Linked DNA regions of Caenorhabditis elegans. The protein of the gene in region 3 interacts with the protein of the main gene of each other region in a pairwise test. Each region holds a gene or a part of one and is shown on either strand. Other genes may lie near its edges. The genes, in order: Y38F1A.2, ubr-1 and ubc-1.

The links.
Region 1: the proteins of ubc-1 (region 3) and Y38F1A.2 interact in a two-hybrid assay, tested with the Caenorhabditis elegans proteins (one study listed by BioGRID).
Region 2: the proteins of ubc-1 (region 3) and ubr-1 interact in a two-hybrid assay, tested with the Caenorhabditis elegans proteins (one study listed by BioGRID).

Annotation. Positions count from the first base shown.
Region 1 is NC_003280.10:12,951,015-12,960,882, reverse strand, and holds Y38F1A.2 (E3 ubiquitin-protein ligase RNF170), read right to left. Parts: upstream 5,926-9,868; 5' UTR 5,904-5,925; coding exon 5,852-5,903; intron 5,412-5,851; coding exon 5,261-5,411; intron 5,087-5,260; coding exon 5,014-5,086; intron 4,956-5,013; coding exon 4,856-4,955; intron 4,801-4,855; coding exon 4,724-4,800; intron 4,483-4,723; coding exon 4,360-4,482; intron 3,322-4,359; coding exon 3,233-3,321; intron 3,188-3,232; coding exon 3,001-3,187; 3' UTR 2,860-3,000; downstream 1-2,859. Other genes in the region: Y38F1A.1 (Exocyst complex component Sec10), read left to right, coding at 6,170-6,250, 7,396-7,509, 7,562-7,677, 7,732-7,894, 7,945-8,160, 8,210-8,329.
Region 2 is NC_003279.8:3,811,417-3,820,863, forward strand, and holds the start of ubr-1 (E3 ubiquitin-protein ligase ubr-1), read right to left. Parts: upstream 5,394-9,447; 5' UTR 5,381-5,393; coding exon 5,227-5,380; intron 5,173-5,226; coding exon 4,922-5,172; intron 4,716-4,921; coding exon 4,413-4,715; intron 4,356-4,412; coding exon 4,064-4,355; intron 4,005-4,063; coding exon 3,363-4,004; intron 3,006-3,362; coding exon 2,677-3,005; intron 2,628-2,676; coding exon 1,866-2,627; intron 1,526-1,865; coding exon 1,302-1,525; intron 1,254-1,301; coding exon 480-1,253; intron 423-479; coding exon 264-422; intron 216-263; coding exon 45-215; intron 1-44. Other genes in the region: npp-11 (Nsp1_C domain-containing protein), read left to right, coding at 6,663-6,774, 6,822-6,914, 6,986-8,465, 8,516-8,986. UniProt on the Caenorhabditis elegans protein: E3 ubiquitin-protein ligase which is a component of the N-end rule pathway. Recognizes and binds to proteins bearing specific N-terminal residues that are destabilizing according to the N-end rule, leading to their ubiquitination and subsequent degradation.
Region 3 is NC_003282.8:4,098,543-4,109,011, reverse strand, and holds ubc-1 (Ubiquitin-conjugating enzyme E2 1), read right to left. Parts: upstream 5,993-10,469; 5' UTR 5,977-5,992; coding exon 5,926-5,976; intron 5,013-5,925; coding exon 4,623-5,012; intron 3,968-4,622; coding exon 3,830-3,967; 3' UTR 2,749-3,829; downstream 1-2,748. Other genes in the region: C35B1.2 (SWIM-type domain-containing protein), read right to left, coding at 6,117-6,191, 7,005-7,152, 7,587-7,648, 7,904-8,077. UniProt on the Caenorhabditis elegans protein: Catalyzes the covalent attachment of ubiquitin to other proteins.

The DNA.
Region 1 (9,868 bases), on a different chromosome or scaffold from region 3:
TAGGTCTTACTTTAGTAGTAAAGGGAATTGGCTGCAAGTTCAGAGAAGACAACTTGGTCATCAGATAAGGATCGAAAAATGAGCATTCGAAAATGAAAAATTAGAGTTATGTATTTTTAATTTTTAAGTAGAGTGTCAAAGAAGTTGTCTACTAGAGAAATTTCAGTTTAAAATATTTAGGAATTCATTAAAAAACAAATTAAATTCAAATTGTGGGGAAAACGGTTTAAATTCGATTTATGAACTGCATTGAAAACAAATGAAACGACACATTGAAAACAGTTTCTACTAGCTATTCCTCTCCCCCTCCTCAGCGTCTACAAATGCCGACCGCGACCTACTTTCTCACCCAAAAAGAAACACAAAAGACATTCGACCAGCTAAGAAGAAGCTAAAGGCGAAAAAGAAGAAGAAGAAGAAGCCGTTGCCGCGCGCGGACAGACAAGCGGCTATCGGGTGTGGGAGGAGGAGGGGGCGACAGTTCGGAGAGGCTTACACTAGCATTTGAAAATGTAAATAGTGCGGTTTTGGTGGAGAGTTAGAGTCGTGAAGGGAAAAAAGATTGAGGCGAACGATCGAGTTTTGTCTTCTGGGATTGATCCGGGCATTTTCTTTCAGGAAGGCATAGGGGTCAGGTTTTCAGGGCATAGTGGTAGTTGATTGTAGTGAAGTTTATTAGGCAGTTACAGTGTATGAAATTGTAGATGATACTACTCGGCCAGTAAAACCAACCTCTGTGAGTTTCGGACCAAAAATTGTTTATATTTTGAAGATATGAATCTTTTTACCGGACTTTACTGGACTTACGACAATAAGCTCTTACAAATGTTGGAAGTAGGGCTCACAGTGGAGTGAGGTGCCAAATGTGGGCCTCATGTCGTCGTTTGGAGCGGCCGGCACGTTCGGGGTTTCGCAGCTTAGCGTAAAACTCGTAGTTTGGTGTGTGCGCAATGTAGTGCGAAAAGATGGTTATTTGGAAGCGACCGGCACGTTCGGGGTTCCGCGCCGCGCTACCTCATGGGAGCCCCTGTTGGAAGCTTGAAAAAATCACCAATAAAATTCTCGTTCTACTAATTAATGGCAATTGGTCACCACGGTTGTTTGTCTTAAGCCGACTGCCATCCACCACCCAACCAGTTCCGCTTTCCATGTCTATTAGCCGTCTCACACGCAGTAAGAACCAATGGCTATTATTATTATAAGATTCGAAGAAATTGATGTATCATTTACTTTCTTCAATAAGCTATTCATATACATAATTACTTTGGAGAGTGGGAGGCCAAGGGAATGAGACATATGTATGCATACACAGGTGATTCGCGTTTCATGTGCCACACGCTCCCTTTGAGTCGAGGTGTGCGAAGGGTGTATGAGGCGTGTGGAGGGGATGAACACGCGTCTAACGTGTGTGTAGCGAACGAAATTTTCGCAACGCGTGCTTTACGCGTGTTTTGCGAACGTTTTGTTCGCTACACACACGTTACACGCGTGTTCACCCCCTCCACACGCCGCATACACCCTTCGCACACCTCGACTCAGAGGGAGCGTGTGGCACATGAAACGCGAATCACCTGTGTACTGTTTCATAGAATTACAGTAAAATAGATGGATTTACACGGATTAAATTTAAAAAGAAAAGGATTGATTAGTTTTATCACTGAACTGTCTGAAACTAGATCCTAAATTATTTCAATTCCCAGTAAAGCCCACAGTTTACTGCAGAAAAAATCGCCCAGATAAACTGTTATCATAAAACTGAATTTTGAAAAATTCCAATTTAAAAAAATCTAATTTTCAGTCAGAAACGATTTTTTCCGGCAAATGGGCAAATCGGCCAATTGCCGGAATTGAAAATTTCCAGCAAATCGGCAAATTGCCGGAATTGAAATTTCCAGGAAATTCGCAAATTGCAAGAATTGAAAATTTCCAGCAAATCACCCAATTACCGTGATTGAAACTTCCGCCAAATCGGTCAATTGCCGAAACTGAAATTTCTGGAAAATCGGCAAATTGCCGGAATTGAAATTTTCGGCAAGTCGGCGAATTGCCGGAATTAAAATTTCCGGCAAATTGGCGAATCGGCAATTGCCGGAATTGAAGATTTCCGGCAAGTCGGCAAACCGACAAACAAAATTTTTGACAAATTGTGGGTTCGCACATTTTTTTTTTGGAAATTTCAGAATTTCAATATTAATCGGCAAAATTGTACGCATCCTATGAATGTTCCTACATCTATTTTGAAAATTAAGAGAATTTTATGAAAATATATTTTTAAAAAAACGGGAAAGCATTTCAACTCCGGCCGATTTCCCGGTGAAAATTGTTTGCCGCCCAACCCTGTATACTTAATTTTTACTAATTTTTCAAAACCCCAACATTTCGAAAATTCTTTTCTTTATTTTCGAAAAATCAGGTTTTGCGCAAAAACTGTGTTTCCGTCTTATGAAAAATCCCTTTAAAAACTTCCGGAAATCTGGCAATTTGCCAAAATTTAATATTTCCAACTATTTTGTTATATTTTTTAGGCGGCCTACTTGCCTGCCTGCCTCAAAAATTAACTAGAACCAACATGCACTTTCAGATGCGTTAAGTAGTCACATTTGCCTACCTGCCTGCAATGATGGCATTAACCTAAATACATTGAAACCTCTAAACACTGTCTGAATAAATATAAATGATGTTACATGCCCAAATATTTTATATCTTCCGCTTCATTAAAAGCCTTCATCTCGTCTTTATCTTTGTCGAACAACCCAACAAAAAACGAGATTCCCCTCACAATCGGAAATGGCGCAATTCGAAATGAAATGAGACATTTCCAAGTTGTCGTCCCCTTCCTTGAATGTCTCTTTCTGGGATGATGTCGAATATGCTAAGTTTATTGAAACCGAAATCGAATACCAAATGTGTTGGGTCAAATCACAGTGGGAACGAAAGCTGGGGGGTGATTTTGTACAAGAAAACCTGATTTCGGCAAGAAAAAAATTAATTTAAAGCTTCCTAATTCCTCGCTAAACCTCGATCCGCCATATACTCTCTGAGCCACCGGAACATGGCTCCAAACACCAGAATCCCAATGATACAGTCGTCGAGGAACCCAATAATTCCGTAAATGCTCTCAGGAACCATATCACTTGGTAGCAAGAAGTAGGTGATCACACAGATGAACACGAATCCGATGCGAACTCTGGAAATGGAGTAAGTTGGGGGAGAAGAGGGTGAGGATGCTTACTGGTAGACCAATGTGAAGATGTCATTGTTGAAAAAGTTGCGGATGAGGTAGGGGATGAGGATCGGGATGTCACGGATGTAGTCGAGTACCTGGAAAGTACATGTTAATGGGATATGGAACTCGGAATTCCCAACTTAAGTTCGAGCTGAAAATATTGATTCAAAACGTTACAATTTATCTCAAACTGGGCACGGAAAGAGCCCCGAGTTCCAGGAGCATTAATTTCACAGTCAACTTCTTGCCAAAATCTGGCACAACACTATACACACTTTTGCCCAAGTTTTACCAGTTTCTTTACCAAATTTTTTGGGTGAAACTTGAGCATACCAACCAGGTGTGCACGGCAAATTTTGAAATTTTCCGAGCTCGGCAAATTCGGTAAATCGCACTATTTTTCGAGTTTAAAAAGGGCCAAATTGATAGAATAATTGATGGAATTAACTGGTTTTTGTTAGATTTTTTTTTACAAAACTTTCAGTAAAATTTTTCATGTGTGCGGCAAATTTCAATGTTTGCCAAGTTCGGCAAATTTGGCAAGTGTACATTTTTGAAATTTACCGTTCTCGGCGAATTTGGCAAGTTTTCCAAGCTCGGCAGATGGCAAATTCGGGGAATTTACCAAGCTCAATAAACGGTAAATTCGGCGAATTCGGCAAGTTTTCCAGGCTCGGTAAATGGCAAATTTGGCAAATTCGGCAAATTCGCCAAGCTCGGCAAACGGCAAATTTGCCAAGCTCGGCAAACGGCATATTCGGCAAAATTCGCAAATTTGCCAAGCTTGGTAAACGGCAAATTCGGCAAATTCGGCAAATTTACCAAGCTCAATAAACGGTAAATTCGGCGAAATCGGCAAGTTTGCCAGGCTCGGTAAATGGCAAATTTGGCGAATTCGGCAAGTTTGCCAAGCTCGGCAAACGGCAAATTCGGCAAAATTCGCAAATTTGCCAAGCTTGGTGAACGGCAAATTCGGCAAATTTGCTAAGCTCGGTAAGCGGCAAATTTGGCAAATTCGGAAAATTTGCCGCACACCCTTGATACCAAGCTGTGACAAAATTTTTTGATAATCTCGATATTTTTTTTCTGTTTTTTTTTTACTTTGACCAAAAATTGAATATTCAAAATCTCACCGGTCGATTAATCGAAAACCTCCTGTTATAGTCATCGATCCGAATATTATTTTCCTGAATGTGATCATCAGTTTCTTCGGAGGTCCCCATTGTTGGCCAGTGGACTGGGAGAAGCATGTAGAACTGAAATAAACATATTTGTATAAATATTATATATCCACGTGGTGTCAGGATGTCTCACTGCGGTTTGATCTACAAAAAATGCGGGAATTTTTCCCCCAGGGAAATGTGACGTCAGCACACTCTTAACCATACGAAATCAGTTGAACAGTCTACGTCTCCATTCTCCCGCGTTTCTCGAAGATCAAACCAAAATGGGACACATTGACACCCCGTGTTATATGAAACTCTGTGAGCAACTTACAGTGCTTCTGCACATTGCGCAATCGCACGGCGTCACAATTGCCTTGCTCTGTTGCCAGTACTGAATGATACATTCACCTGGAGGAAAAACGGAAAATAATTGAAATTTAGAGCCCAGCCAAGAAAAACTTACAGCAGAAAATGTGCCCGCAATCGGTGAGCACAGGAAAACTGGCATTTGCAAGGCAGATGGGACATTCGTGGGAGCTTTGGTGTAGAGCTTCACTGATTCTCTGAAAATTTTAATAACATTTTTTTTCAAATTATCCGGTGAACTTTAAAAAATCTTACTCTCTGCGTAATTATTTGGTTTCGCTCGGCGTTTTCATCCATGCGGCTGGCGGCTCTCTGACGGCGTCGGGATCTGGAAAATGTATATTTTAGAATATTGAAAAAATGCTTTAAATTTCATTAAAATGCTCACACTTTAAATTCTGTCTAGTTTATTTGAAATAAAGATCAAACCAATCATAAAATCAATAATAGGCACCGCCCGCATCTTGGCATTCAACTTATCGAAATTTTTAAATTAACTCACTGCCACGCATCGAAAATAGCCTTCACAATGAAAATCACCGCAATTGCCATGGTAATCTGGGTGGCGAGCTCCACATCTGGATCCGATGGCCACAGCCAATCTTCGTCTGGCTCCGTGACGGTTTCGCTGACAACTTCGGGAATTGTGATATCTGGAAAATGAGTATAGTTGTAGCGGGTTACTGTAGAGGATACGGTAGGAATTTTATTAGAGACCGTAGGATACTGCACTTTACCAGGTTGTTACTGTGGTTCCAAAAGACTACTGTACTACTGCAGACTACTGTATAGGGAGCTAGGAATAATGTAGACGTGAATTAGGATTACTGTAGAAGTACCAAAGGTTTACTGTAGGGGTACTGTAGTATTGTAAAATCGAAACTGGAATACTTTATGTCTAAGTTAGGTATACAAACTTTCTAAATACTTTCTGCATGAATATAAGTTACGGTACGAGTTCTGTGGGTTACTGTAGGATAGAGATACTTGCAAAATGCTAGAGGGTTACTGTAATTGAGCTTCTTAGAGACCTCTATTACTGAAATTATTGAGAAAAAAACATAAAATTCCCCCATCATTTTCCCAAACTTACTTTCTGTAAATGGCGGGATCTCTGAACTTGTGGCAGGCACACCTTGCTCCATGATTTTTACTAGTTTTCTAAAATATTTTAATTTTAGAAACGTGTATTTAGCAAAGAAAATGTATAAAAGAAGAAAAAAAAGAAATACATTACGTGAACTCTCATGACTTGAAATTGCAAAGAGAAAACAACGAAATGCCACGCGTACATCTAACAGAAAAAACAAAGATCGAATCAAATCAATAAATCAATTTATTCCTTAACATTCTCATCATCGAAAGCGTGAATTAAGTACGCTCTTTAACAACACGAAAAGTTGTGTCCGGGATGTCGTCAATGTCTGAGTCGGATAGTTATCAATCGAGCCAATTGACAAGCGAGCCCGATCTTGTGGCGCTGGATGCCAAGGTAATTATAATACGGGGGGAGATTTTCAGCATTTCAGCTATTTTATAAGCTTATAAGTTTATGTGGAGAAAGTTAAAAGCTGCTCTAGCTGTTCTACCTATATTGGCATTGCTCTATATCATCCCAATATGATATGTTTCACAGAGAAAAAGACGGTTAAATTTGAGAAATGCCAAAAACTTTGCGAGACTTACTCTGGAAGTTTGGTCAAAAATTCGAATTGTTTAGACTGATTCAAGACAGTTCCAGTCGTTTTTTTGTAATAAATTGAAAATTTGCGGTCATTGAAAACTCAGTCAGTTTTCGGCATTTTCTCGAACTACACTGACTTTTTTTTGGATTTTCTTTAGCAATTTACTGAGAACCTAAGGTTTTTCAAATTAATTAAACGTCATCTCTTTGCAAGGCAGCCCAGAAAACTAGAGGATTTGAAAAAAGTGTAGTATGCCACGTAGCAAAAATCCATACTTTTCGGAAATGATTACGTGGCGGATTTTTTGTTGGAATATTTTTTACACCTTTATCGTTTCGAGAGTCATGAATTAAATAATTTTGCGGCTAGGTATTACGGCAACAATAAATCATGAGAATGCGTACTTGGTGTATTTTATTTGACGCGCGATATCTCTTAGCGAAAACTACAGTAAGAACTCAAATAACACTAGATATTTAAGCTCTTACTGTAGTTTTCGCTAAGAGATATCGCGCGTCAAATAAAATGCACCAAGTACGCATTCTCATGATTTATTGTTGCCGTAATAATATGAAATTCTTAATTTTCAAAATATTTTTTATTGGAATTTTGTGGCATTTTAAACTGGTTTTTTTTATTAAAAATTAGTTTAACTTCGTTGTAACGATGGCAATTTTAAAAGCAAAACAAATATAAAAAAAATTAAGAAAGTTCAAACAATTTTAAAAACAACAACATAAAAAACAAAAAAAAAAGCTCAGAAATTCTACATTAATTTCATAAAATCTAGAGTTTAAGTGTAGGATGACGTCTTTTTAAAACGAAAAACAACGCCCCAGTGTATCTTTCACATCTGGGTTGCCAAGAGAGCGCGGAGACCCAGCATGTGAAAGTAAATACATTGCGAAAGAGACGGAGAGGCGCAGAGACATAAAACCGCTTACATTTGCAGATAATGGCGGTAATGGATGGAACTGAAGAGCTGGAGAGGGAGATTGGCAAGATGATGGCTCTGCAGCAAGCGATTAGTGATTACAAGAAGAGCCATCAACATAGAACTCAAAGAGTATGTGATTAGCAAGGTTTATGAACACCCGTGCAAAATTTGAAAATTTCAGACCAAGGAGAAGCTTACGGATATGTCTAAAGACCTTACAATCACCGGGAAGAACATTGTTAAGTCGTGTGAAGAGCGGCTCAAGCAAATCTCGGATGTCACCGAGCCATACATCAAGTGAGATATTACAGAGAGTTTGGTAGAAAATTATTGAAATATTATACTTTTCAGCAGCGGAATCTCATCGGTGGAAGATCACACCTCCTCGGTTGTGGAGCGCTGCATTCAAATGCTCGGAGCAATTTCTGGACTTGGTGGGGCAATGAAGAAAACGGAGGGATTGTCTTCGAAAGTGCTCGAGCATCACAGAAAGCTCGCGATCATGGAGCACAAGGTTCGCGGTTTATTTTTCATCAGTTTGAAAGTAATCTTGTCAATTTCCAGCAAGCCGATGCAATTTCTCGCTACGAGAAAGCCGTCGGAGTTCAGAAGCTCGTCCGCGAGCATCCGGCTGGAGACCCACTGCACGAGCTCGCAAATCTTCTTGGCATTTTCTTGGCTCTCCAACAATCTCCGAATACGTCGGAGTACTACAAGAAAGTTTTCGATGGATTTGGAGGACGAGTCACCGCGTTGTTCGCCGAGATAGATCGTCCAAAGGTGGGGGCTTTAAAACTTATATAAAAAGCTTCACACTGTGACTTTTCAGACCGCAAAATCTCTCGCTACGCGTTCTGGCATGTCAACCCTGTCGAGCATGAGCAACGGAGAAATCAACTTGGAATCTATCAAGGACAACACTGAAATTCCAGTCGACACTTGTCAATAACTTGGTTCTGGTTAAAGCTCCCTTTTTCTTTTATTTTTTAAGTAAAAGAAATGAAGAGTTTGATAATTCTGCAGCACACAAAGACACACACGAAATCAGTTTAAAACGTCAAAAAAAACTATGAGGAGGCTCACTTTGTTTAATCTATCAGTGAATTCATCTTGCATTTTATCTCTCGAAACAGCTGACATTCTGTGGCGGAGCCCGGGGGATTCTTGTGTTTGGGAACAAATTTCAACTTTATTTTTTGATTCTTTTTTTTTGCTGTCATTCTGTCTGTTATGACGCAAGTCTATGGAGTTCCATCGTTTTTGAGGTTTTTTTTACTACCAGATACCGTATTTCGCTATAAGTCCGACTACTTAACTTTGAAACGTTATATCTCGGTTTATTTTAAAGATATTAATATACTATCAACTACGATATTATAGAAAAAGAAATAAAAAATATTTTGTCAGTTGACAATTTTTGGATTAAAAAAATGATAATTGAGATATAAGCTGTCAAAGTTCAACAATGGGGTGCAATTCAGTTTTTCGCCAACCCATCCGCTTCCTTATTACAAAAAATGGCTAGCTATTGCCCATTAGCATTTCCAATTCGCCCATTTCCTCAAGTTCCATTACAAATGTATTCATTGAATTGAAAACATGAAAACAATAACAAAACGATCGGGGTAGTTCTTATCTCTTTTTCTGATGTGCCGCCCGCCTGCCAAGACCCCCCCCCCCCCCCACCCATCCAACAACGGCATTTTCTATTCATACGGTTTTCATGTCATTGTATACGTAATTATACGATTTTATTTGGAAAAAAAACTATTGAATATGATTTGAAGTTTTAGTTGGCAGTTTTGTATATCGCACTGTGAAACAAGATTTCTATCATGAATCTGTACGTATTTCTGTTTTGATTTGTTTCCGGCAAATTAGCAAATCGGCAAACCGGTAATTTGCCGGAATTGAAAATTTCCGACATATCGGCAAATCGGTAAATTGCCGGAACTGAAAATTTTCGGCAAACCGGCAAACTTATAATTTGCCGAAAATGAAAATTTCCGGCAAATCGGCAAATTGGTAATTTGCCGAAAATGAAAATTTCCGGCAAACCGGCAAATCGGTAATTTGCCGGAATCGTGAATTTCCGGCAAATTGGCAATTTGGCGATTTGCCCGATTTGTCGACAAAAAACTTGCCGACTGGCAATTGACGCCCACACCTGATATAGATACTTGGAATTATGGACCAACTTTCTGTCGAACTTGTTTAAACTTTTCTGCCAAAATTGGTATTCTTTCTGCCAAACTTGGGCTACTTTCTGTCAAATTTTGCCAATTTTCTGGAAAACTTTGCCAACTTACAGCCGAAATTTGTTTTTTACAACTTTCTGACAAACTTGGTTTTTTTACAGTTCCCTGCAAAAGTTGTGCAACTTTCTGCCTTACTGCCGAACTTTGGTGATTTTCTGGCGAACTTTGCCAACTTTCTGCCTTACTGCCGAACTTTGGAAACTTTTTGCCAAACTTTTCCAACTTTCTGC
Region 2 (9,447 bases), on a different chromosome or scaffold from region 3:
TTTAAAATTTTTTGGCCAGTTACTCCATTTTCTATAGAACGCACCCATTTTGATTCGTCAGCTGATAGGCTGGCAATACTGGAATCGCCGCATTCGACAATCGTTTGCACAACGGACACTGATATTCTCCATTCTCGGTATCAACCATTTTATGCGAATGTTGACCAACTTGACGGGCTCTCAAACTCTCGCGAGATCGATTCGCTTCGGCGAGACTGAAATTAAAAAATATTTAGACTTTTTTGGATTATAGAATAATGAACCTTCGATAACACTCATAATGCATACTATGTGAACACGTGGAAACATCAACTCCATATTGAAGTGTAGCTGGTGCTGTTAGAAGATCACGTGTAGATATTGTCCCACTTGAAGCCGTCATGAGCTCTCCATTTTTGTTCTTATGAGTGAAAAGTTGAGATCTGAAAAAAAAAAGAAATTGTAAAATAACTTTTAAAAAACTCAATTAGCCAGCTTACTGTTGAATAAACGCTGCGCAAACCATTGGTTTTCCCTGTTGCGGTGCAATTATTTCATCCTCTTGACACAGAATACACGTCAATGTTCGGGGTTTCACGAGCTCCGCGTGCCACTTATTTGCACCGATACAAACCGGAAAATCGTGACCAACTTGCTTCACAACATCTTCATCGAAGAAATGCTTATTATCATAGTCGTCCTTCTTCACAACAGTTTCAGATTTTTCAGAAGGTGTCTGTGATTCGTCTTTCTTCTCTTCGTCCTCAATTTTCTTCATAAACTTTGACTGCATATTCGACATTTTTGCCATCGCTTTTTGTCTCATTTCCGCCGCCCTTGCAGCTCGCTTCGCTTTGATTTCTTCTTCGGATTGTGCTGGCTTGTTTTCAGGAGCTGGAGCTGCTTCAGGAACACCTGCTCTAGCTTTAATCAATTTTCTGTATTTCTCGACGGTCACTTCGAGAAGGATCGGACAAATCGATGACTCTGGTTTTCCAACAAGTCCTTCTAAAAGCGACAAAAGACCGATCGATTCCTCTGCACGTTGTGTAAATCCGAAAGATGGATTCTTTTCCTCTTCGTTTAACGCGATTCCGATCAGATATAGTGTTTTGTGGAAGAGACGATCACTTGAGAAACGGCTACGTCGAGCTGTTCTATCGATAATCAGACGAACAACGTGAATAAGAACATTTGTGGTAAGAATTTCGGGAATCCGCTCGAAAAATGTTTGAAAATCCGGAAGAATAGGCGGCGCACAAGCTCGAACCGACCTTAAATGTATTGAATTTTGATAGTAAAATATAAACTCAATAACTCACTTTTCCATTTTCGCACGAACTCTTGCCTGACTCTGTTCAGCAGCTGACTGATCACTTTTTGAATAATGCATGAAGAATGGTGAATAGGTTGGAAGGCTCGACTCTTTGCAATGGAATTGTCCAGCTGTGGTGGCCAGTGGCTTTCGGAAGTCTGCAACCAGATTTACTGCTTCATGAAGAGAAAGACGCTTCGAATTGATATCATGTGACATTTTCTGTTGAATCTGGAAATTTTAGAAGTTAATTTGAATAAAAACCTTCATTTTCTGTTTTATTATACCCAAAATGGCCGATAATACCTTAAAAACGAAACTTAATTTTATTTTAAAAGGCGGTTCAAGAAAATACAATTTCTTCAACTTTTCCTTGCCGCAGCGGTCGAATTTGTATTAGACTATCGTGTTATTTTTTACATTTTTCTTTGTTGATTTAGACACAGGCTACTAGTATTTAAGGAAATTAGGTCATCTTTCGAAATTTTGAACAGCCATAAAAATTATCTGAGAAATTTATTTTCCTTATGAAATTCGGTCTTTCGAGGCTTCGTAGTTAAAAAAGTCTTACATGACTGAACGTATGAGATCCAGTACAAAGAATATGGATAACTTCTCGTTTCATCTGATCCATCGGACGAGTCTTTCCAACTCCGTATGTATACCGTTCACAGAGAATCAGAATCAGACATTGTATGAACTCTTCAGCGATCATCACCAACGTCTTACTCAGATCCTCTGATTCCGGTTTCGCTGGTTTCTCATTCGCCTTGTCTTGTTCAAACTCGGATGTAGCCCATTTAAAGAGACGGAATCGATGAAGAAGGTGGAAAATGAATTTTGTTGACGGTGTGAGTGCAGCTCCTACTTGCATCATCAGAACATCACGATCGAACATCTCATTTCGACAGAGTGGAGAGAAATAATTATGAATCTGGTTTATCAGCGAAAATCCATTTCTTCTCCAAAGTGTCGCGTTGGATTGTGCACACAGGACGAGCACTCGGAGACTCAGTTCGTAGAGATTCGTCTCGTCCTTACAGTTGATAAGTTCTTTGATTCTTTCTTGATTCAAACTCGTATGTGAATTATTACTTCTATTCAACAAAAATCCCGTGTAATTCGAAGCACTAAAGAGACCCGCGATAATTCGAACAACCGGCTGATGGACCGAGGTGGATGATTTAAGCACGTCAAAATGTGATATTCGACATGATTCTCCGTTGATAGTGACCGTCAATTCATAGGTATCCTCCTCGGATTTTGTATAGACAGGTGGCATACGATTCATCAATTCAAGGCACATTATCATTAGACGATTATGAACTTCTTCCTGAAAATCCAATTATTTTGAGATTTTTAATTACTTCAGGAAAACTCACATTAGTTTCTGCCCATCCAATAATCATCGAAATCGCGTCTTTCAATCGTAAAAGGATATTGAACGCTGTTTCCCACTCAGATTCCCACACTTGATGCTCAACGGCTTGTCGTTTCACCTCATCCATTCCTTGCAGATGCTGCAGGAAAAGCAGAAAATCAGCGAATCCTTGAACAAATCCATCGATAAGTTCTCGATTCCAGTCGCTTTCCGATGGCACAGCATTCAGGATATAGGCCATATCTCGAGTGATATGAAGGGATCTTCTTAATTCTGGTGGAAATGAGCGACTTGTGAAATCAAATCTCGCGATTTTTCCGTCATTGTAATCTGAAAATTAGAGAAATTCAAATATTGGTTTGATACAGGGGAGGGCGGCTTTATTTCTATATTTCCGGCAAAACGGAAATTGCCGAAGTTTTCGTTTTTTCGGCAAATTGTGGTTTTGCACATTTCTTTTTTGAAAATTTGAGAATTTCAATTTCAATCGGCAAAATTGTACGCATCGTATAAATGTTCTCACATCTATTTTGAAAAGTAAGCAAATTTTATAAAAATAGCTGAAGAAAATAAGAAAAAATTTCAAAAAAGAATCCCAGTTTTAAGTGTTTCCGTCTAACAACTTCCGGAAACTTGCCAAAAATCAAAATTTCCGCCCACGTCTGGTTTGATATTTTCAAAACTCACACTTCACAAATTTATCAGTCTGATCCCGAATCGCTTTCGATATCACACTGAATGCTTGATCTTCGGCGACAAGTTTCCGAGCCAGACTAGGAACAGTCATGAATTGAACTGATAACCCAACAACTGAAACATCCATCTCATGATCATCTTTAATGAAATCCTCGTAAATTTCATTATAATGTAGCATAAAAGCCTTTGCAAATCGAACTTTCTGATCATAAATCATGAAAACTGTCCGCATGAGCATTTGATGCAAAATCGATCTTCCAGCTTTCCACATTTGTGTATCCTGGAGAAGAATATTCTCTAGCATTGTGAATGTTGAAGAATCTCGTGAAGGACCTGGAGATTCTTGATGTTCTGAAACTCCTGCCAACGCTGCTGTTATCTCTTCTTCATCATCCGCGTCAATTTCCATTTGCAGAGCTTCTCCACCAATATCGTCGTCATCCATTTCATCAACATCCATTCTTCCATCAAGTGCGAATAGTTCTTCCTCTTCATCATCCGGCAAAACCATAACATTTCTGATAATTCCGGCAACTAGACGTTGATCCTCTGACTTCATTTTCCGCGTGTAATTCTTTTTCAGTGCAAACTTTGAACTCAGCAGAATTTCTCCAACAATTTCGCGAAGGGGAGCTGAAAATAAAAACACGATTTCGAATAATGAAAAGAAATAAAAAGAAATAAAAACTAACGAAAAACATCCATCTGTGTGTTGAGCCAAGTAAGAAGGGAGATCGAAAAATTCTGAAGCGCGAAAAGCGTGGTATCCATAACCTTAACACTTAACGGTAGATTATGATTCGATGATCTTCGAATTGACGTTGGATCTCGAGCTGTTTTTCTCTGAACATCATCCTTAGCTTTGGTGCAATCAGCCTTACTGCCAAGTTTCACAGCACTTCGACCTTCTCGATCGACAATTGTGGCTACAAGCATCGCCTGATCCTTTGTACAATGTATGTACAATTCCAGAACTTTGATCACCTGGAAAAAACGGGGAAATTGAAGATTTAATTGAAATTCGGAATATTAATTACTAACAGATTCATAAGTGTGAGTTTCATCATTGTAAAGAACCGTCAAATATTGCTGTGCCTCATTTGTAACCTCTGGCTTCATTTTCTCGAAAATTTCGGGAAGTTTGAGATCATCTTTATGAGTGATCATTGAAAGGGAAAACTGTAAAATGATTTCCACCAGCTGTTCACATCGTTTTTTCAATTCTGGAGCCAACACTGCCGCCTCTTCATCGTCCTTTTTCTCGTGATTTGCACATGCGTAACCTTCTGTCCATGCATCTGCATCACCACAGTCACAATATCCCGAACCGGAGGAAGAGTGCATCTGGAAATTTTTTTTCAATTATAAATTGGATTTACTTAAATATGCGTGTTTTATCATTCATATTCGCTCAAAATAATCAAAAACTTTTCAAGATTTTGTCTATGTTGGTTTAAAATTTCGAGAAAAAGGGCAAGTTTCGGCTAAAATCTGAATGTTTTTTTTCAGAAATTTTCTGTGGAAATTGATTCATTTTGAGGCATCCTCACTTTGTATTTATGAGATTTATGAATTGAAACTTCAAAACACTGAAGACACATGACACATGTCCCATCAGTGGCACAATCCAGACATGTATACGTAAGTTCTCCGTTTTTAAATACATGGCCACAAATTTGTCCCCGTCTTGCAGGATCAACTCCGGCAATGCCATTCATTGCTTCCAGTGTGCTCTTTGTGTTCCGAACGTCTAGTACAAATGCACTGACCAGTGGGGCTAGGAGAATCTCTCCTTGGGAACCTGAAGCAAAATTGGCTTTTTAATATATATGTTTTTTTTTTCAAAAAAACCCACCTAGAATTCGTTCATTCGCGGCTGTATTGTCCCATGGCAAATCCGAATTCACTTCGAACACCTCTGGGACCTGTACAAGCCAGTGCTTGAGCAGCAGCTGGCGTACTTGGGCCCATTCACCCTGTCGAGCTGATTGTATTAAATCGACAATCATTCCATTAGTCGAACTGAAATCGGTAGCTTGATAAAATAGGAGCATTTCATCTAAGAAAAAGAGGATTCGTAAAAGAAAATAAAATATATTGATTATTTTCCGACCCCCCGATTATGCTGCTGATGACCATATCAAAATAAGCGAACGAGAGGACAAAAAGCAGTGATGGGAGGCAAAAATGATGACAGTGGACACTAGGAGAAAGTGAAGGAGATGAGAGAGAACGGGAGGATATAGATTTGCTTCTCTCTCTCTCTGTTTTCGATGCGAGAGTGTTGCCGCAGATAAAGAGCTCTCACGGACTCGGTGCAATGCATCGTGGATTAAATAATTCAACAATGAGGAAATTGAACTATTAAAAATATTGATTATTTTTACGTGTCAGCGAATTCACTGGCGAAGCAATAAAAAAAAACTTTTTTTTAAAATCAGACTTTAGAGCACGTGGACTTTGAATGTTTCACTCATATAACGTCAAAATAATTTAAAACTATATTTTAATAAAAGTTATTTGACTTTAAAAGCAATAAAATATACTTTTTCACCGAAAAAATAACTGATTTCGCGAAAAAAAACAATCTAAAAAAATAAAAATAAAACCCTTGGGAAGTGGATCGTGGCGAGACCCTGAAGGTGAGGCATGCGCCTTTAAGTGTTCGGACTACGGTACACAAATTTCTCTTTTTGTTTTCAATTTCCTAATTTGCGTGGATCGCTGAGAGTTGTTAGATTTTTGAGTTTGTATATAGTTTTCTTTTTTATTTTCATCAAAAATTAAAGTATTTCTTCGTGAAAAGTACTTGGTCAGCAGGAAAAAAAGGTTCTCCCGCGTTTTTACCCCTTTGTGATAGAAAACTTTGCATATTCAGAAGCTTGCTCATCGTTTCGATGATCGAGATCTTTCTTCACATTTCATAACTTTTTTAAAATATCAGTATAAAAAATGGATCAATATTATAAGTTGTAATCGAGAAGTTAGAATAGCAATAGAAACCACAAAGACATTCGGGCCCAAAAATATTTATATTTTCAAACTAACTGCAGCACATGAAATTATCTTCGATTTTTCTCCTTCACGCCGACGTCGCGTGCTCCTCCCAGCCGCCGGCCTAGTCTGCGGTGTTTTTAGGCCATCATTTTCGCGCGACCACCAAATCATTTTTCGAATCTCGACGCGCTCATTTGTGCACTCAAATGACTATTTTCTGCCTCTCTGTCGTTTTCTTTTTGTCAAATAATATTGCTGCCCTTTAAAAATATTAAAAATATCATTCCAGATCAAATGTTTGGAGGATCTGCACCAAAACCGTCGATTTTCGGAGGAACCGCTGCTACCACAACAGCCTCATCTGGATTTTCTTTCGGTAATTCGAGCACATCAACAGCGAACACAGGTATCGATCGATGAAAAATTCAACTAATTTATTTTTTTCGTTTTTAGGCGGAAACACGAATACTACCGGAGGTTTTTCTTTTGGATCCGCACAGCCGAGCACTGGAAGTACTGGACTTTTCGGAAACAGCACAGCTACTGGTAGGTTTTTGGTTTAATAAACTTGTAAAATACGCTCCCGTATTCAAAAAGTATAATTTTAAATTTTTCAGGCTCAATGTTTGGAGGCTCCTCTGCTGCAGCTCCAGCCCCAGCGTCTGCTGGAATCTTTGGAAATTCTGGTGCCGCGGCGCCAGCTCCCGCTTCAACGAGCATTTTTGGAAGTTCTGCAAATTCAGCAGCACCTGCTACAGTAACGTTTGGCGCAAGCGCACCATCAGCTGGTGCTGGCATGTTCGGAGCTAATAAACCAGCTGCTCCAACTGGCGGCTTGTTCGGATCATCCACAAGTACCGCAACAACTGCACCAACTGGCGGGCTTTTCGGTAGCTCAACTGCTGCGCCATCAAGTGGATTATTCGGATCCACGGCCGCTCCAGCAGCACCAGGAGGACTATTTGGAAGCACTTCCACCTCTACAGCGGCTCCATCCGGCGGCTTATTCGGATCTTCAGCTGCTCCAACTTCCACAGCCCCAGCTCCTTCTGGTGGTTTGTTCGGGGCTGCACCAGCTACTAGCAATGCTGCTCCAACCTCTGGATTATTCGGAAATTCAGCACCTGCTGCGACAGCTTCATCTGGTGGACTATTCGGCGCAGCTCCAAAGCCTGCAGCTCCATCGGGAGGTCTTTTTGGTTCTACCGCTCCTGCAACCACCGCTGCAACTACAACTGCCACATCAGGATTGTTCGGAGCACCAACATCTGCTCCTTCGTCCGCTCCAGCCACTGGTGGTCTTTTCGGAGCCTCTACTGCTCCCGCCGCTGCTACTGGAGGTCTTTTCAGCATTGGTGCTGCTTCAGCATCCACTCCATCTGTTGGATTGTTCGGTAATTCTAGTGCTTCTACAACCGCTGCGGCAGCCCCTGCCACCGCCCCAGCGGCAGCTTCAACTGGAGGATTGTTCGGAGCCACCACCGCCGCAGCCGCAGCACCAACCTCATCTACAACTGGGGGATTATTCGGATCTACCGCCGCTGCTCCGGCCGCTTCACTTCCAACCGGAGGTCTCTTCGGATCGTCAACTCCTGCTAAGACCCCAGCCGCACCAACAGCAGGACTCTTTGGAGCATCATCGACAACCACCACATCAGCTCCAGCTACTGGATCTTTGTTCGGAACAGCTCCAGCAACCACAACAGCTACTAGTGCAGCTCCAGCGGCTTCTACTGGAGGATTGTTCGGTGCTTCATCCACAACTACGCCTGCTTCTACAGCTCCGACTGGTGGATTATTCGGAGCAGCAACCACAACTGCTCCCGCCGCAGCAGCTCCGACTGGTGGCCTGTTCGGGGCTGCGACTACAACTGCACCAGCAACTGTAGGTCCGACCGGTGGATTGTTTGGAGCAGCAACTACAACAACACCTGCTACTGCCGCTACATTGGGACAAACTCCATCTACAGTGTCAGCAACTCCATCTCTTCCAACCACAACCAGCACTACTTCCACTCTTCCAAAGCCAGCAGAAGCTACTCCAACTCTTGGACTTGGCCTAGGGCTCACTTCAACACCATTGGCTAAGGGAACTGGGTACATTTTGGTTTACTTTTTAAAAATATAAAAAAAACTCTTAATTTCAGATGGACAACATCAGGACTTAAAGGAGCTGCAACTACATCTGCAGGCCTGAAAATTGGTGCAAGTGGAAGCGACACACTTTCTGAAGAAGAAATCAAAGCAGGACTCGGTGGAAATGATACAAAAGCCTTCTTCACCGCCCTTCAAGAAGTTGTCAATAGTTATCATTCGGAAATTGCGAAGCAGGAACGAGTATTCCATAATAAAATGCTCGAGCTTAATGCTTATGACCGTGAGCTCATTACACTCGAGCCAAAAGTTTTAGGATTGTACAATGAGATGGATGATTTGAGTGGAAGCTGCAAGAAACTGCATTTCAACGTCGCCTCCATGACTTCTGTCTTGAACGATATTGAGCAAAATGTTGTTGAGCTAGAGAACAAGCTGAGCCTTCCAGAATGGCATACTCTTGATTACAAATTCCCACTTGATAGCAGATTTGCGTCGAGACATGATGTTCAGAGAGTGCAAATGTACGTCAAAGTTATTGATTTTTAATGGATTAAATTTTTAAGAAATATATTAAATTTAGCTAAAAACTTCAGTTTTCCCAACTTTTTCTTTGTAAAAGCCGATGGAAATTGATTTTTTTTCATATATTGCCCTATTTGGCATGCTTTGGTTGATTATCTCACGCTGTTCCGTTGATTTGGCTCGATTTGCATCCAATTTTCGTAATTTTTGAATAGCTATCGACTTAAAATATGACTAAATTAACGAATTAACGCCAGATAAATAATCAAAATATGCAATAAATCGGGATAATTCGATAAAAACTATATTTCAGCCGCTGCGACAAAGAAAAAGTTGACAAAATTTCGCAAAATCCTGCCATAAAACTATCAGATTTTTTTCTTGTTGAGAGTTTTTGAATATTTAAGCAAAAAAATCCACAGGTTTTTTTTAAAATCATAATAACTAAAACTTTTTGAAA
Region 3 (10,469 bases):
GCTTCTTAAGCAATTACTAGTGACCAAACTACAAACTACAAAATTCACGGATCCAAACTAACTAAATATTTTTTCGCAGAAAAGACTGATCACTTCGACGCGTCAGGGGTTTAAAAAACATGTTAATACAAAAAATACGTGCTTGAAATTCATATGTACTCAAATAAAACCACCGAAAGAAAAAATGTAGCAACGGACGTCAGATAATGTGTCAGAAAAACTATAAGGAAATGAATTCATTTTTCAATGTTTGAAAAGGAGAAATGCCAGATGCGATAATTGTTTGAAGTGGGAAGATGGACTATAATTGCACTGGACAATAGATAATCCATTAAAGGTAATTATTCTTAAAAGTTATATAGCTGGGAGCATGAGCAGGCAAGCTAAATATGGAATGATGTAGGGAAGGAAAAAAAATGACTGTAGGTTGGTGCTTAATGTCAAGTGACGTGCGTTAAGATTCGTAGATTGACAACATGTTTTGCTCACTTTTTTCAATTAGAAAAGAGTTTTAAATTTTTGATAATTTTGATAATTTTCAAGCTTGCTTTGAGGCCATGGTTTTAGATTGTAGACCTTTTTTATAGCTCAGACTTCTAAGCTTTGGCTTTCAAGAACAGGCTCTGGGCTTTTAATTATTGAAAATATAGTATCTTTTTAAATATGTTATTCCACATACATAACGTATAAAATCTAGGAAAGTGTGATTTTTGAATGTTACAAGCCGAGGACATAAACAGGGCGTCATATGAATTTTATTTTGGAGTTACGAGGTACAAATGGAGTCATGAGAAACTATGAATTTAGTCTTCAAATTTGTAGATCACATATCGAGGGAATTTTAGAAAAGAACCATAAATCTAGTGGGTACTTCAAAAAATTCCAAAAAGTCTATTTTTTTTCAATAAAAACTAAAATTTAAAAAATATTCTACAGATACCGGGAATCGAACCCGCGGCCTTCTGCGTCATAGATAGAATTTCAAATAGTTTTGAAAAACTGAAGGTTTTAAATAATTTTTTTTTGCAATTTTTTCAAAAAAAAAAAAAATTAATTCTCCCTACATTTTGTACTTTAAAATCCAACATTTTGGAGCTTACAAGCTCCCCGCGTGGGATCCGGAGATTAAGAATTCAAAATTCTGCATTTCTACAAAAAATATTTGTTTTTTGATTCTGGATTACGGAAATAAGTCTTGAAACTTCTTTTTTTCCGCCACTCAATCGTCCAGTAGCCCCCATAATCTAGTGGGTACTTCAAAAATGTTGTAAAAATTCAAAAATTGAGTTTTTCTTACCAGAAACTGAACATGAAAAATCTCTGCACCTACCGGGAGTTGAACCCGCGACCTTTTGCGCCATAGATAACCCTGTTACCGATTGCGCCACCGTGTCTCAAATTTTTCAAAAAATGCTTCAATCGACGCAGAATTTTACGGTGAAAATTTTTGCAATTGACAACTTTTTTCTAGCTTTCACCGTTAAATAGTTATAAGGGTTTAAAGTTTGGCTTGAGAGAAGGGAGAGACGCAGACAACGAGACAGTCTGCGTCTCTCTCAGCCTCTATCTCTCTCGTAAGCCCAAGCTTTGAAAGCGTGTAACTCTGCAACTAGGCTTGCTATCAGAAAATTTTTAACTATAGAAATGTGTAGAACGTTTAGCTGAATAATTTTGTAATGAGAAACTTTTTGATAGCTCCGCTGGTTTTGAAGTTATAAGCGGAAAAATTTTACAAAACACTAGAACTAAAACTAAAAACTTCACATAATTAAATTTCCAGCATCTGAAAAAATTTCAGATTACCTCTTAAATACACGACGGTTGTGTTGTTGTCACTCTCCCCCTGGCCGCTCGTTTTATTTTTTGTATTCGACCTCCTGCTCTCGTATACGAGAACAATGTGATTTTCTTAAGATGGAACACGTCGGAAAACAAATGAGCAAATATTTTTCTTGGACTATGAGAATATATCGGAGTAATGAATTCGTACTCGCGCGCGTTTTTGCAGTCGGGGGAAAACATGGGTTTTGGTGGAAAACTCGAAATTCGTTAGAGCTATCAAAAACTTGCTAACTGCAAAGCTGTTCAGCTTAAAATATTAGATACTTTTATAGTTGGGAGTTTTTTGATAGCTAATCTAGTTTCAGAGTTAAGCGCCTTCAAAGTTTGAACCTACGAGAGAGAGAGAGACCCAGACTGTCTCGTTGTCTGCGTCTCCCCCTTTCTCACACTAAACTTTAAACCCTCATAACTATTGAACGGTGAAAGCTTGGAAAAAGTTGTCAACTACAAAAATGATCAGCGTGAAATTCTGCGTCGATTGAACTATTTTGTGGAAAATTTGAGAAACTTTCGAAAAATGAGTGTCGCGGTGGCTCAGTCGGTAAGAGAGTTGGTTGGGGTGCAGAAGGCCGCGGGTTCGATTCCCGCTAGCTGCAGACTATTTTTATTTTAAGTTTTTGGTAAGAAAAACTTGTTGGAAATGTTAAAAACTTACAATTTTCGAGTTTTTGGACCTTTTTTTGAAGTACCCACTAGATTATGGGGACTACTGTCCCATTATGTTGGTGAAAACAGAAATTTACGTCTTATTTCCGTAATCCAAAATCAAAAACCTTTGAATTTTTGAATTTTTAAAGCTCTGGACCCCTGTGTAGGCTTGTAAGCTCCAAATTTCGGATTTTGGAGCACAAAATTTTGTGAGAATTCAAATTTTTTTGGAAAAAATGCAACTTTTCCAAAAAAAAGTTTGCCATCAAAATTTTTTATTCATTTTTACGTCGAAAAATTGACGAATTGGGATGGGACAGACACAGAGACATAGAGACAGAGAGAAAAAAGGTGCCATTTGAAGAAAAAAAAGACAATTATGGTTGGAAATCAATCAATAAAATCCGAAAAAAATCAATTAATAAACGTGGGAAAACGAAAAAAAAAGAGGATTTTTTGCAAATGATGAAAATTGGGGGAAAAAGTGAAAAATTCGAATTTCCAGCCAAAAAAGGAGCAATATTTTGGTGATTTTTGACGAAAAAAAAACATTGAATTTTCAGACAAAAATTTGAAAGTTAGCTGAGTTAGAATTCCAACTTTTATAATTTTTTGGCTAAAATTTTCCGATTTTCACAATTAAATTTCGAGTATAAAAATGGCGATTTTCAGCAAAAAAAAACTTAAAAACTCTGAAAATTTTGTTGGAATATCGAAATTCAAAATTTCAGAATTTTCATACAAAAACATAGTGAAAATTTGACTTAAAAAATGCCAAATGATTTTTTCGAAAATTCACAAATTTTTCAGCTATTTGGTCGAAATTTTCAGATTTTCACAAATTTTGGGTCTAAAAATATCAATTTTTAGCCATTTTTCACTAAAAAAGGCCGAAAATCCGCAAAATTTAGCTGTTTTTCAGTCAAAAATCGTGATTTTTTCTTGAAATTTCACAATTTTTTCAGTTTTTAAGGTCAAAAATTTCCGATTTTCAGCCAATTTTCACCGGGAAAAAATCCTCATCTATGTAAACAACAAAAGACAGAGAGAGAGAGAGAGAGAGAGAGAGAGAGATGACTGGGGTGTATAAATATATACAAAAAAAAACTACCGTATCTTAAAGTGTTCCGGAAAAAATACAAAAAAAATGAATAAACGAGAAGAAAAAATTTTCAAAGGGATCGATTGTGTTGAGAGAAAAATGTGGGGGGAAATTCAAAAATTTCAAAAAAAAAAAATTGATTTTTTTTCGAAATTTCTTTTACGGGGATGATGGGAAAAGCTTTTGATTTCAGATGATTTTTGGGGGTAGAAAAATTTCAGAAAAATTCCTGAAAATTTAAGCATTCGATCCACTGGCTCCTTCATCCATACGGTCATCGTCTGCATCATTTGCTCCTGGAGCAGCAATTTCTTCAATTTCCACGTCATCCTTGAGCACTGCGTCGCCCTCGTTTTCGCCGAAATTGAGCCAGGACTGGAAAAAATTATAGAATTTTTGGAACTTTTTTTGTGTTTTTTCAGCTTCGTCGAAGCCTAGGCTTCTAGGCCTAGCTTAAGTCCAGGCCAATGACTAAGCCCAAGCCTAAGCCTGAACCTAAGCCAAAAATTTCTAATTTTTAATTTTTAGCCTCAAATTTCGGTTCTTTTTTGCAAAATTCAAAAAAAAAAAAATTATTTTTGCTTGAAATGTCAGCCATTTTCAGCCAAAATTCAGCAATTTTTCGCAAAAAAAATCTCAATTTTGGCATAAAAATTCAGATTTTTCATATTTCGCAAAAAATTTCGCCTATTTTCAGCCGAATTTCAGCCAAACGTTTAATTTTTCTCAAAATTTCAGTTTTGGCATAAAAATTCCAAAATTTTTTAATTTTAACTCAATTTTCATCGATTTTCAGCTAAATTTCCACATTTAGGGTAAAATTTTACGATTTTGAACCACAAAAAGCCAAATTTTGCATACATTAGATGAAAATTTAAGAATTTTCGTATTTCAACTTAAATGTTATCGATTTTCAGCCAAATTTCAATTTTTGGGGTGAAATTTCTCGATTTCGGGTCAAAAACTGCCAAATTTTCAATATTTGAGCTCTAATTTCGCCGATTTTCATCCAAAATTCAGGGTTGTGTACCTGCTCAACAATCTGCTGAACACGTTTCTCATATTCCCGTCGATTTTCTTGATAAAGCTGTGCGGCAAGTGAGTTGGCCGGTGAATTTGGATTGGGCTCGTCGAGCAACGACTGAATCGATGTCAGAATTGCGGCAACATCATACGTCGGAGACCATCGATTCTGTAGAATATCCAGACAAATTGATCCGTCCGCATACACATTTGGATGGAACATTTTGGAAATAAATTTGACGGTTGGCGGTTTATTTGGATATTCTTCAGTAAATTCCAGTGATAATTTGAATGTTCCATCTTCAAACGGGGTTTCTTGTGGTCCAAAAATTATTGCTTCCCATGTGAGAATATTATCTTCTGTTGGTGCACCTGATACTCCTGCTGGTGGATCTTCCTGAAAGATTTGGTCGTTTTTTTGGGGATTTAGAGCGATTTTTTTTGGAAATTAAAAGAAACCTTTCTTTTGGAAAATTTTCAGTTTTTTAGGAATTTTGAGCGATTTTTTTTGGAAATTTTGAGCAATCTTTTAATGATTTTGAGCCGTTTTTTGGTAATTTTAAGTGATTTTTTTTTTGGTAATTTCGACGATTTTTTGGTAATTTTCGACGATTTTTCGGAAATTTTGGGCAATTTTTTTGTGTTTTTCGGCCGTTTTTTGGAAACTTTCGATGATTTTTTGGTAATTTTGAGCGATATTTTTGAAATTTTAGGCGATTTTTCGGAGAATTTCGACGAATTTTTGGAAAATTCGGCAATTTTTTTGGAGGCGATTTTTTGATAATTTTGGCGATTTTTTGGGAACTTTCGATGATTTTTTGGAAATTTTGAGCGATTTTTCAGTAATTTCGACGATTTTTTTTGGTAATTTTTTTTTTTTTTTTGGTAATTTTGAGCAATCTTTTGGATATTTTCGACGATTTTTCGGAAATTTTGGGCATTTTTTTTGTGCTTTTCGACCGTTTTTTGGAAACTTTCGATGATTTTTTGGTAATTTTAAGCGATATTTTTGAAATTTTAGGCGATTTTTCGGAGAATTTCGACGAATTTTTGGAAAATTCGGCAATTTTTTTGGAAAATTCTCGGCGATTTTTTTTTGGAAATTTTCGGCGATTTTTTGGACATTTTCGGCCGTTTTTATGGATATTTTCGGCGATTTTTTGGCAATTTTAATTTTAAAAATTTCACGAGAAATTTATCAAAAATCCCAAAAATATCTAATTTTTTCTGGAAAAAACCAATTTTTGTTGCAAATGTTCTCTAATGTTCAAAGAAAGCCAAATTTTCGGGCCAAAAATTTCAAAACTCACCTGAAGTTTCTTAAAATCTCTCATCAAACGTCTACGGCTGGGCGTCGTCATATTGATAACCTAACTCCTGCAAAAAATGTGAAAATTAGGTTAAAAATTCGAAAAAATGCAGAAAAATGCTAGAACAAGTATGAAAAAAGGTACGGCAACCTTTAAAAAATCAAAAAATTAAAGAAAATATTTTTTAACATTTATTGACAATAATGCAAAAGTTGAGCAATTTGTGTGAGTTGTTGAACTTCTGCCGACGATTCCAGCCAAGCTTCCTGCAAAAATCGAAAAATTAGGTAGAAAATTGGAATTTCCCAAAAAAATTCGTATTTTAGTGCAAATTTGGAATATAATTTCCGTAAAAATTGGAAACTTTCGAAAATGTTTCGTAAAAAATTCAGTTTATGTTAAATGAAAATGCTGGAAAATTGCCAAAAATGTCAAATTTTTCTTTGAAAATTTGAATTTTTTGGAATTTTTCATTGAAATTCGATTTTCTAACTGAAAATTAGAAAATTTTGGTTCAAATCGAACTTTTTTAGTGAAAAAAAAAATTTTAATGAATTTTTAATGAAATTTGATTTTTTTAGTGGAAATTTCTAAATTTTAATTTAAAAATTTCTAAAAAAAAATCAATTTTCCAAAAATTTAAAATTTTACAAAAAAACGTGAAATTCTCAGTAAAATTCAAATTTTCGGTGAATTTTTGATTTTTATCTTTTTTTTTTTTTTGGAATTTCAATTTTCTCACTGAAAATGTCAATTTTTTGGTAAATTTGAAAAATTTGAAGTTTTCGGTGAAAATTTTGAGTTTAAACTGGAATTTTAGGTTTTCCGGAAAATTCGAAATGATTAACTGAAAACTTTCAAAAAATCAAAATTTTGAGTAAAAAAGTCCAATTTTTCTGGAAAAATGCAAATTTTATAATATTTTTCAGAAAAATTCAAATTTAAAGCCGAAATTTTCCAATTTTTCAGTACAAAATATTCAACTTAGGCTCAATTTTTTTCACGATTTTAAGGTAAAAATTCTGATTTACTTAATTATCAGCTATAAAAAAATCAATTTCGACTAAAAAAATCCGTACTTTTTTACAAATTTGATCAATTCGATGTATTCTTTGTAGTAATTCCATTAATCTTTCCGAATTAATTTTCTTTTTTCTTTCCATATTTTCAACCATTTCTCGCATTTCTGGACTAATATCATCGTCGAACATCACATCTCCGGAAACTCTGAAAAATTTTGAAATTGATAGATTTCTTAGAGAGAAGTTTTTGGGAATTTTTATGGATTTTATAGAAAATTTGAGATTTTTGAAAAATCCCTAAAAATTAATTTAAATATTTCAGAAAAAAAAACTATTTTCTTAATTTTTTGGAAAACTCATTACTTCTTAAATAATTTACAGATTTTGTTTTAATTTTTGATATTTTTCTGAAACTTTTTGGCATTAAAAATTTCTTTAAAGTGATTTTTTTTTCAGATTTTTGTGTAAATTCATTTTTCAAAAATTTTAGACATTTTTTCCGGATTTTTTTCTTTTTAATTAATTTTTCTGAACTTTTCCGAAGTTTTTTTTTCGGAATTTTAATTTTCAGAATTTTAACCTCAAAAAATCCACATTTTTCCTGAAAATTCAAATTTTCAAAAAAAAAAAAAAACTAACAATTCAACTTCTTCACCAACACGTTGACCATCTGGAAGCTTCTGCCTATCCGGTTGCTCAATCTGCAAATTTTTACAGTTTTTTGATGGAAAAGCTTCGAAAATTGGCTTTTCTGAGCAGAATTTGGATAATTTTTTCGATTTTTGATGTAAAATTGAAATTTCGCGGTTTTTTTTATGGAAAAACACAAATTTTCTCAATTTGAAGACATTTTTTCATGGAAAATCTTGAAAATTGCAGAATTTGGGTCAATTTTTCAGTGTTTTTTCTACTTATCCTTCGAAATTTCGCAAATTTTCCAGATTTCCTCCACTCACAAACGTCGGATGCGGAGCATTTCTGTAGGAATACGATATTACTGCCAAATCTCGATTATGAAGTTGCTCAGCGACTTCTGGCGGGCATAGTGGCAAAATTTTGAGCAAATAAATTTTCCGCACAAATCCAAACGACTGGCTGTACTTTTGGCCATTGTAACGGCGGCAGATTATCTGGAAAATATTGATTTTTGGAATTTTCAGTTGAAAATTCGGATTCAGTATAGTTTAAATAGTTTACGAGTTAATTTTCAGCTCAAAATCTCGAATATTCGTGAAATTTGGTGTGTGGTCTGCAATCACTCGGTGTTTGCGTACTCTTGGAGCTACAGTAACCCGAGAAATTTGAAAATCAAGCTAGCGACTTCTAGTTTCCGTCAAAAACTTCGAAATTGAAGGGAAAATCTGAATTTGCAGTCGAAAATTCGAAAATGCTGATTTGAAGTTAACTTGTCAGAGATTTTTCGGCGGAAAAGCTGTGAAATCACATTTTTCCAAATTTTCAGTTGAAAATTCAGATTCAGTATAGTTTAAATAGTTTACGAGTTAATTTTCAGCTCAAAATCTCGAATATTCGTGAAATTTGGTGTGTGGTCTGCAACTACACGGTGTTTGCGTACTCTTGGAGCTACAGTAACCTGAATAATCTCAAAATTGAGCTAGGAGCCTCTAGTTTTTAAAATCCAATTTTTAGCAATACTATGGCTAAAAATTAAGGAAAATGCTCCCAATACAATTTTCCGATAATTTTTGTCACGGAATTCGGGTTCAGCACTGTTTGATTAGACATAGGGCTAATTTTCAGCTCAAAATCTCGAATTTTCGTGAATTTGGTGTTTTTCCCACAACCACTCGATGTTTGCGTACTCTTGGAGCTACAGTAACCGGAAATTTTTCGAAAATGAAGCTAGCAACTTCTAGTTTCCGTTAAATTGCCAAAATCGAACAGAGATTCCAATTTTGAGTTGAAAATTCGATTTTCTAGGAAAAAAGTTGGGAAAAAAGGCAGAAAAATAGATTTTAAAGAGAGAGAAAACTCGTTATTTTCTTCCATTTTTTTCCCAAAATATTTTTCAGGTCAAAAACAAAAAACACCATGACTTGTTCACGTGATACACAAAACAGCAACTGGCAGCGGTGAGAGATGATTCGGAAGGAAGAAAAAAGTGTAAAGTTCTGAAGATGAAGCAGCAGCAGATGTTATTGTTTTTATTGAAAAATCGGTAAATATTAAAAGAAAAATTGGAAAAAAAATAAGGTGAGGAATGCGGAACACGTCAAAAACTATATTAAAATAGATTTTAAGTTGAAAATTTCAAATTTTCGACCTAAAAATCGAAATTCTCGAGTTTTTCTTCACATTGGGAATCTCCGTTCAATTTCTCGGGTTACTGTAGCTCCAAGAGTACGCAAACAGTGATTGCGGACCAAACACCAAATTTTACGAAATTTCCAGATTTTTAATGAAAAATTGTGTGGATATACTCGATTCTTTAGCCGAAGAAAAGAAAAGAAGTTCACAGCTCGATTTTCAAAATTTTCCTGGTTACTGTAGCTCCAGGAGTACGCAAACACTGAGCGATATACCAATTTGGAACACGGCCCGGCAAGTGGTACATCCATGCAAATGCGCTCTACTGATAATTTGAGTGTAGACCAGGTTTGGGCGCGTGATAACGAAAAAAGCTTTGGTCCAAAAAATTTAGAATTTAATTTCGGACATTTTTTATATGCATCACAAAAAAACTGGACCAACCGTTTTTGAGGTACACGCGCCCAAACGTCCAGGTATACGGTAGACAAATTGCGTACAGGTACCACTTCTCGGGCCGTGGGAAAAATAAATAAATAAAAATTTCGCTAAATAAGAATTTTCATTAGAAAATCAAAAAAAAAATGTATTTTTTAATCTGAAATTTTACAGATTTTACGGAATGTTCAAATTTTTGAAAATCGTGATTTTTTGGGAATTTCTAAAAAAACATGTCCCATGGCTCACTGGGACATGATTCGGTTCAGGATTTTTGAGAAAAAATCGAAAGAAAAGAAGAAAAATCAGCTGTTCTTTTTTTTTTTTTTTGAGTTCGAGTCAGGTGATGGCTCAGATTTTCAAAGTAGAAACTGACTGAGAAGTGTTTTTTTTGTGAAAAAAAAACAAAATTTTCAGATTTTTTCTATTAAAAACGAGATATGGGGCTAGGCTAGAAATTTCATATTTTCAGAATTTCTCAAGAAGAAATATTCCAAAACCGAAAATTTTGAAATTTTCGGGGAAAAAACATTTTTCAGGTACAAAAAATGGGCTAAATTTAAAAGATTTGCAAAAAAAAACAGAAAAAGTTATTTTTCCTAGGAAAAAACAAAAAAAAACTTCAAAGCTCACTGAAAAATTCAAAAATTTCCAGTAGAAAACAGCAATTGATAGTAATTTTTCAGAAATTTGTAATGAAAATTCTCAAATTGGAGCTGGTTTTTTTTGCGTTTTTCCTCGAAATTTGAAATTATCTGAACAAATTGGGAATTTATTTTTTCTTCTCCGGCCCCGCCTAAGCCCTATGCCTATGCC